Oryzias latipes: one gene and its partner. The main gene of each other region encodes a partner of the protein of the gene in region 2 in a complex. Links are inferred from orthologs where the notes say so. Each region holds a gene or a part of one and is shown on either strand. Other genes may lie near its edges.

The links.
Region 1: lamtor1 (region 2) and lamtor3 share a complex: the UniProt entries of both Homo sapiens proteins name them as parts of the ragulator complex. The link is inferred for Oryzias latipes from reciprocal best matches to the Homo sapiens genes LAMTOR1 and LAMTOR3.

Annotation. Positions count from the first base shown.
Region 1 is NC_019880.2:24,349,292-24,353,533, reverse strand, and holds the start of lamtor3 (ragulator complex protein LAMTOR3), read right to left. Parts: upstream 2,801-4,242; 5' UTR 2,735-2,800; coding exon 2,702-2,734; intron 2,618-2,701; coding exon 2,583-2,617; intron 2,428-2,582; coding exon 2,369-2,427; intron 2,002-2,368; coding exon 1,868-2,001; intron 1,222-1,867; coding exon 1,158-1,221; intron 90-1,157; coding exon 16-89; 3' UTR 1-15. UniProt on the Homo sapiens protein: As part of the Ragulator complex it is involved in amino acid sensing and activation of mTORC1, a signaling complex promoting cell growth in response to growth factors, energy levels, and amino acids.
Region 2 is NC_019871.2:21,798,437-21,802,483, reverse strand, and holds the start of lamtor1 (ragulator complex protein LAMTOR1), read left to right. Parts: upstream 1-1,247; 5' UTR 1,248-1,533; coding exon 1,534-1,575; intron 1,576-2,712; coding exon 2,713-2,858; intron 2,859-2,953; coding exon 2,954-3,031; intron 3,032-3,463; coding exon 3,464-3,587; intron 3,588-4,047. UniProt on the Homo sapiens protein: Key component of the Ragulator complex, a multiprotein complex involved in amino acid sensing and activation of mTORC1, a signaling complex promoting cell growth in response to growth factors, energy levels, and amino acids.

The sequences.
Region 1 (4,242 bases), on a different chromosome or scaffold from region 2:
AAGCATCATGGGACTTTATGTGACCTCCACCACCTGCCTCAGCTCCTCCATCAGAGGAGCCAGCTCCTTCTCCAGAGTCATGATGAGGCCTGAGGACAGAAAAGGAGGGTTTTTACAAAACGCCTCCCACTCGTGTGAAAAACCAGATGGATTCATTTTCACAAAGCTGGATGGCTCCTAACTGGAGTCTGTTGCTATGGAAACAATCTGACCCTACCCTGGTCAGGATCAGGTTTATCTGGAGAATCCCCTGACTGCATATGAGCACTGGACTGAATGTGACATCACACAGAGAAAATGGTTTACCTCCAGCTCCAACCACATGAAGTCAATTCACTCGCCATTTTTTCAGGATATATAAGCAGCGATAAGTCAATCTGAGTCCATGTTTCTATGGCAACCACTCTCACCAATCAGGAGTGAGCTTGTTGGAACTCCACACCCCTACCACCACTTAAAAGACATGAAATCTGTCGAATGGATACTCTTATCTGATTGGTCAGTTTATAACTTGAACCACAGAAAAATATGACGATCATAAAAAAAATGTATCCGAGTAAGAATACTTACTCGGATCAAAAGACTGAGTAACAGCTGTCTATTTCTCTGTAGGATTAGGTACTTCCTGTTTGGAACGCCAGGGGGGGAGGGCTCACTCTAGGTTTTGATTAGGCCCCTCCCACCTGAGTCTGCAGGATGGGTCAGACTCACAGGATTCATCTTTTGTCAGAAGGGGTTTGACAAGAACTTTTTTTCTTCTTTTCACTAAATATAATCCAGAACATTCCTGGAGATTCCCGTCAGACTAAATGATCTGAAATGTCGGGTTTTTTCTCAGATAAACTTCAACTTCTTGGCTCTTGAGCCGTATTTTAAATGCCAGTATTACCACATTGCAACATATTTTGGACGATGATGCTGAGTCACTTTCTCTGCTTTCTTTCATTTGGATGATGAAAAGGCCTCAGGTAAAAGTTTTTGCGTTTCCATGGCGATATTTCTCCTTCCCCACGATGCAGCAATAAGCTACACACGAACAGCGGGGTGCACGGAGATGAAGACTGAGATCATTTTAAGACACGCTCTGTTCAGAGAACATCAAACAGACTGCAGATAACCAGTGGGCGGGGCTCCTCAGACACGCCTCCTCATCTCACCTGTGTTGGCGCTGCTGCTGGCGATGAAGCTGACGACCAGCGGCAGGCGGTTAAACTGCATGATCTGTCGAGCAGAGACAGCAGACGGGTCACAAAGGCAGAACCAGAGCAGAGTCTGGTTACCATGGAGATTGGCCGGGTTAGGCTGGTTCAGAGCAGAAGGAATCCATCAGAGTGATTTGGTTTTTTTTTTTACTTAGCAATAAAAAAAACCCAAATATTTTCACTTCTCTGATTTTTCTTAAAAAAACTCAGGAAAAAGTTCAGCTGGCTTAACAAATCATGAAAAACAAAAGAAGACCAACAGATTCTGAGATTTTCCTCTGCTGGACGTTTTGTCTGCTCCATCAGAGGATAACGTTTGCAGACTTTTCTCCTCTCTGTCCCAGCAGAAGTTCTTCTTTACTCTCAGAACCCTCTGACATTTACAGAACCTGCTCTAGTGCTTCTGTTGTGATCCGACTCCCATGGATCATCTCATTTCAGTCCGTCTCACTCTGCTTTTATGTGAGGCTATTCTCTTAATCCCACCCCCAAAAGTTTACAAACAGGAAGTTTGTTACTATAAGAGACGATGGAGACTAGAGTCTGGTTCTGGATCTGACCCGGACCGGACACAAACTGGCAGGAACCGGATGAAGCGAGCGCGGGTGAAAGGCGCCGGTGTTCCGGCTGCCACGCCCCCACGCGGTGATGCTGGGAGGGGTCACCTGGTAGGTGTTGTAGTAGCAGATGATGCTCTTGTTCTTGGAGAGGCCCAGCTTGCTCCCCTGATCCGTGGCCAGAGCGAACGTGGACAGGAAGCCCGGTCTGAGCGCGTGCACCGGAACGCTGTCGTTGGCAACTGGAGGAAAACAAGCAGGCGTGTTAGGATGAGGACTTCCTGCTGGTGAGCGGTGCGTTCAAAGACCAGGGCCAGAAAAAAAAGTCAGAAAAATCCCCAACAGTTTGACCCCTAAAATGCAGATGAATGAGTCTTTTAGATCCATTTTCTGCTCTACTTTGGTGACTTCTAACCTAAACTCGTACGAGTGGAGCCAGAGCTGAGTCACCCCAAACCATGAAACTACTGCCACAACAAGAAGCTGCTGAGGCTGAGGATAAAGCGTTCCTGTTGAGTAGCAGGTTGGCCCTGAGGCCAAAAGTATTTCTAATAAGTTATTAAAACACAGTTTATTGGAACAGAAAACCCGAAACAGAAGAAGTCTCACCTTTGATTACCGGGACGCCGTCTCGGTCCGTCACCACGATAGCGTGAAGCCCGTCAACACTGAGGACACAGAAAACTACTATTTACATGTGATATAAGATACAAAAACTCTTTTTTGAGAAAAGAGATTTGATTTATAATACAGATTTTTTTTTCTTGTTATATAGTTAAAGTAAATCACTTTGTGCAATAACAATAAGGGACAAAAGCCTCACCTCTGCATCTGTTTGTACAGGAACCTCTTCAGATCCTGCAGACGGGAGCATAAAGAGTTAAGGAGCAACCTCAGAAACAGTCAAGAACGTGGACGTCTGTGAGCTTTAGAGCTTCAAACCGTCAGAGAAGATCCTGGTCTCCCCACCACCATTTTCACCCAGCATTACTGACAATAGTGACCGAGTAACCGCTGTTAATTTCTCCAAAGAAGTCTATGGGATTCTGGCTTCTTGGAGCCAACAGGTACTTCCTGTTTGGACAGCCAGGGGGAGGAGTCACCCAGTCTAGTTCTCATAAACAGTTAATGGAAAAATGTCACGTGACCTCTGTAGAGCGTCTGTTTTTAACACAACATATCCACATGTATAGAACAGAAAGAAATAAAGATGAAAATTAGGACTGTAGTCTAATACAAATGTAATATAAAACTAAGGGTTGTTACACAGCTTATCTGTTTTGCACTTTTGTTTTAATAAACTTTAGTGATTAAAAAAAACATATCTCTCTCTAAAATTTATTAAGTAATGGTTTGATTTTTTTTTAAGAATTTGCTGTTGTGAATGAAACATTAATACAATATTAAATGCCAAATGAAATAATTTATCACCTACAAACCATCCCACATGATACTGTGTGTTTTTGTAATTAGAAGAGAATAGTGAACTTTGAGCATCTTCCCAAAAACTAAAGAGTTTTTAGTGAAGCCTAACAGAACAGGAGGTGCTAAAGGAGGACAGACAGACTCACGTCCGCCATGGCAGCTCCGAGGACCCAAGCCGGTTCCGTCACAGGAAGTCAGGAGAACCGCCGGCTCCGAATCCAAAACACGACGAGCCCGTCCGGAGCGTTTCCACAGTGAGCTCGGTCCTCTGAACGTTTAAACAAACAATCAGCTGATGCTACCACCGTGAATTTCCAAAGAGCTGCAGTCACGTGACGCTTCTTCTTCGCTGTCACGTGACGCTTCTTCTTCGCTGTTTTAAACTGCCGTGTGCTCTCTGCTCCCCCTGCTGGTGGTCAGACGTCATGGTTCATCCATGGTCAAACCAAGTCTAATGTTTTTTGTCTTCTTTTGACTGGGAAAAATGTAGATAGAAAATATATTAGAACCTCCATCATAGTTCTGGACTAAGTGAAGATTCTAACATTACTTACAACTGATCGAAATGTGCTGGCAACATATTTCAATAAAGTTGACTAAAACTTTATTTTCCAATTATTTTGAATTGGAAATTTCTTTTAAACTTATTCTAAACACAGCTAAAATATTTCGCAGCTACTGCCACCTACAAGAAAATATTAGTATTTGGTCTCCAATCAGATACAATATATTGATTTATTTGTCCGGTATTGTAACATCCCTTATTATAGATTATTATACTGTCTTGCTGTCCCTGCTGAAAGCCCGTCGTCAGTCCATCCATCAGTAACATTTGCCCAATAAAAGTCATTAGTTCTTTTTTCAGCAGAGCTGCCTCCTCCAGATCGGTTGTTTCTTTCTGTGTGGATTGCTCAGGTGGGTGTCGTCACCTCCAGGGTCCTTTGTTTCCAGGACATTCCAGGCACTGCAGCTCAGGCAGGAGAAGGTTTCTGATCATGTTCTTCAGAACAGGTGAGACGTGAACTAAATCTTCAAACGTTCATCTTCCAATTGTCAAA
Region 2 (4,047 bases):
TATTTCCTGTCCGCACTTATGTTTGGCTAACTATTTGTTTGTCTAACTATCTTCATTAATTATGACTGGTACATTTTTTCTTTTCTTTAATTTCTGTGAGGATTTTTATGAGTAAATGTGGATTTCCAAACATTCACTGTGAATATCTGAAATGGAGAACCTTAAATTTAACGCCCATTCATTGTCACACACCTAAATGACCACTAGAGGCTGGTTTCAGAATGAGGCAATTTCCCACTGACTCTCACATCTAAAAGTCGGACTTTAAAGCAAAATTTTATATTTCTATTGATTTATTTTTGTTCACCACAGGTGTGGAATATGTGGAGGTGTGTGTTTTTTTTTTGATTGGCAGGTAGTTGGACTTAGCAAAACTCCAACATTCTGAGCAAACTGTGGGTCTTTTTTAGTTGCAATTCGGATTCAGATTATCCCAAGCGGAGTTTTGTTATCCATTACTGTTCACTCAAAAATCCAACACTTCAGATTTCAAAAGTCAGTTATTAGATGAAACAAGAAAAAGAATACCTTTTTTCATCACTTCAGCAACAAAATAAATAATCCATCTGTCCGTCTGTCCATCCATTTTCTTTATCAGCGATATAAACGGGGCCTGTTCACCTGCTGTTGGTTCTGATAAATTATTTAACACTTAAAGGTCTTTTTTTTCAGCTCTGCTCAATTTTTTCCTTTGGCTTTTAAACAGATGACTGATTATTTTCAGCTAAAGCTCCTGAAGGTGGAATTCACCACAGATATTTATTTTTTCTTATCTTAAATAAATTTTGGAGGAAAACGAAGGTGTTAATATTTTTTATTTATTTAATAATTTTTATATATTGTAAAAATGATAGATTCAAGATTTATATGTATATTATAATACATAATTTAAAAACATTATACTATTTTTTATTACAAATATTGATGACATAATTGTTTATCAGATTTCATTAATTGCCTGGAACAAAAATAATATTATTTGTTTTAACCCTTGTGCTATCTTAGATGACCCCACCCTTACTTTGACGTGTTCTCCCTACCATGACAAAGGTGGATAAAGGTGGAAAGATTTCATGTAATTTATGGACACCAGTGAAGATCACAAATCATTGAAGAAAAAAGATTCAGCGCACTGTTTAGTCGGTCTAGATGACCCAGCTCCCAATGTTAAAATGCCTAGGATAGCACAAGGGTTAACGAAGCAAGGGGTGAGGGTTCTAATGGCACACGGCCCCGCCGAAGGGCGCCACTGTGCTTCTGCATGAAACAACCTGCATCACGTGACGAAGGCCGCAGCGGCTTCACGAGAACCGGAAGTAGAAGTTGAGTTGTTGTTGCAACACAGCTGCTGTCATGTGATAGCCTGTCTGAAAAGCTGCTGTGCTGCAGTAGCTTCCTGCTTCTTGATGTTGTTAAAGTAAAAGTCCACAGGAGAGGAATTTTATGTTTGTTGGAGACGGAGCGCGCGGCTCGTATCTGAAGGAGAACAGGGAAGCCGCGCATTGCTAGTTTGGCTCCTCAGACGCCGCCGCCATGGGTTGCTGTTACAGCAACGAGGACGAGAACACAAGTCAGGTAGTTAGCCGCTAGCTAACCACAACCCGATAACTGTACGGTGCTCGGTTCTGCCTTGTTTACCGTGGTATTTACTTTTTTTTAAAATTGATATTTAAATATAAAGAGGAAAACCTGCCCATGTAACTTCTAGTTTTGTGTCAGATATTTCTGTAACATCTAAAGCAATGTAGCTAACTCTAATGCAGGCCTAGCCCGGAGCTGATTTAGTAGCTTAAGTAAAGTAAACAAGTTGTATATCTGTTAATGTAAACATCTGGATTTCTTGTTAAAGTTTAGTGGTTTATATATACGAAATATTTACTTATCAAACAAATTCACGTCCTGCAGTTTGTTACGTAGATTATGTTCGTGCTGTTTAATCATGGGTTAGAAATCAATTGTGAGCTGTAGGCTGTACAGAATACATAACTAGACTTTTCCGTATTGTGTCTTGAAGAGTTCAGTGTCACATGATCATGCAGACTCCAAGCTATTTTAGTATAAGGAAACAAGTGTGACGTTCCTTTGTTACTGTAAATATGCCATCATAGTTGTAGTAAAATAACTGTTTAGCCCTCTATTTTTATTATTTTTGCAAAGCACATTAAACCAAACACGTAAATTGTTCTGTTAAAAGCATAGTGAAATTTAAAGTATAATTGATTTAGTTTAAACATTTCTCTATAATAAAACACACATTAGGTTTAATTAACATTATTTTTATTGATTTGTGTAAGGTCTGGTAGCATAACATGTACAAGTGGATGAAGGGTTTTTGTATTCGTATTTAAAGAATTAAAAGTTGAGATGAACTGTTTTCCGGTTAAGTGAAAAAGTTTCTTAAAATATTTAAAATGAAATGGTACTGGATAACCTAACACATGAAAAATAAATATCATAACAGACTTATTGTTCAGCACTAGCAAAGGTTGCAGAGATTTCTCTTAGTTGAAGAGTTTGTAATATGTTCACTTATTAAAAGTAAAAATGAGTAACTTGCTGCACACATGTCATCTACAGTCTTTTGTCCTGGTAAAATGGCATGCTTTCATTGTTGCAACTACTTCAGAAAACAGTTTTAAGACAGTATTTGTGACATTTTCATTCAGAAGTGTGTATAAATTGTCTGAATAGATGCTCTGCTACTTTTGCAAGGACCCTGATGAGATTAAGCCCCTTATCCCCCACCCAAACCCCATTAGCAAGCCTCCAAATGGGACAGACTGGATCAATCCTAGCGTCCCATCAGCGCGGACGGATGAGCAGGCCATTCTCACATCCATCCTGGTCAAGACAGCACAGTAAGGCACTTTTTATGTTTGGATAGGTCCAGAATGGGACTTTTGACACTATAGTCTCAAACGCAAGTAATGAAAATCTCTTTGTTGTGTTTGAGGAACATCATTGATGTCTCAGCAGCTGACTCTGTTGTTATGGAGCAGCATGAATACATGGACAAAGCCAAGCAATACAGGTATGTCTTTGAAGACTACTTATTCGTTACCAACTGAACTTTTGGCATGTGTAAGCCAATAATTTAAATTTATATTAAATTTGTAAACTGCAAGCCTCTGTATTGTAATTGGTTGAACAACTTTTATTCTGCAATATTTTGTATACATGGTTCGGATTTAGCAAAAAAAACAGTTTTATTCGTGGAATCTAAAGCAATTGAGGATGATGAGGTCTTTGTATCCTGAGGAAGTTGTGAAGGAGGTAATTTAACCACAAAATTGCTGCAGTGCTGGTGCTTCCCTATAAAAGCTGTTTAGACAAAACAGCTGTCAAGCTGTAAAAGGCAACCGCCGGTTATAGTGCAAAACTGTGCAGTCTGGTCGGACACAAGCGAGACCATTTGGGTTAATTTTTTTTGAAGCTGAACTTGTGTTTTTTTTTATGGTTCCAGTACAAAGTTGACTGCAGTGAGCACCAGCCTACCACAGAAGAAAGCACTAGCCCTCCCCTCACTCACTACCCAGCCCCACCAAGTGCTTGCAAGTGATCTGGTGTCATATTCAGATATTCAGCAGGTAACCACACTGACACGCACTTTAATCCATGTCCTTGAATCCATGTCCTGTTTGTCCTGCCTTGTTTTATGCTGTAAAACCAGGTGATTTGTTTAAAAAACAAAACAAAGACCCTATAAAAAAGTTGAGGTTTATCTTGGTTGTGTTTTGAAAATAAAAACAGAGTATTTTGAAATATTGTTGCATCAACCCATTTCTTCATCTAAACATTCAGAATTCTCCCCCTTAAAAATGTACAAATGGACAAAAAAAAGAAAACAAGTGATATTAATTACTAGACTCTCAGTTGAAATCGCATGTTACTTTCTGCTGAAGTATTAATATTAATTTTTTTTTTCATTATTATGATCAGTGCTTTATATTTTAAAATATTCTATTAGAAGTCTGTAATAGCGTTCTGATCATGCAGATTTTCAAAATCAAATGACTCAGAATCGGATTGGGGGCAAAAAAAAACCTC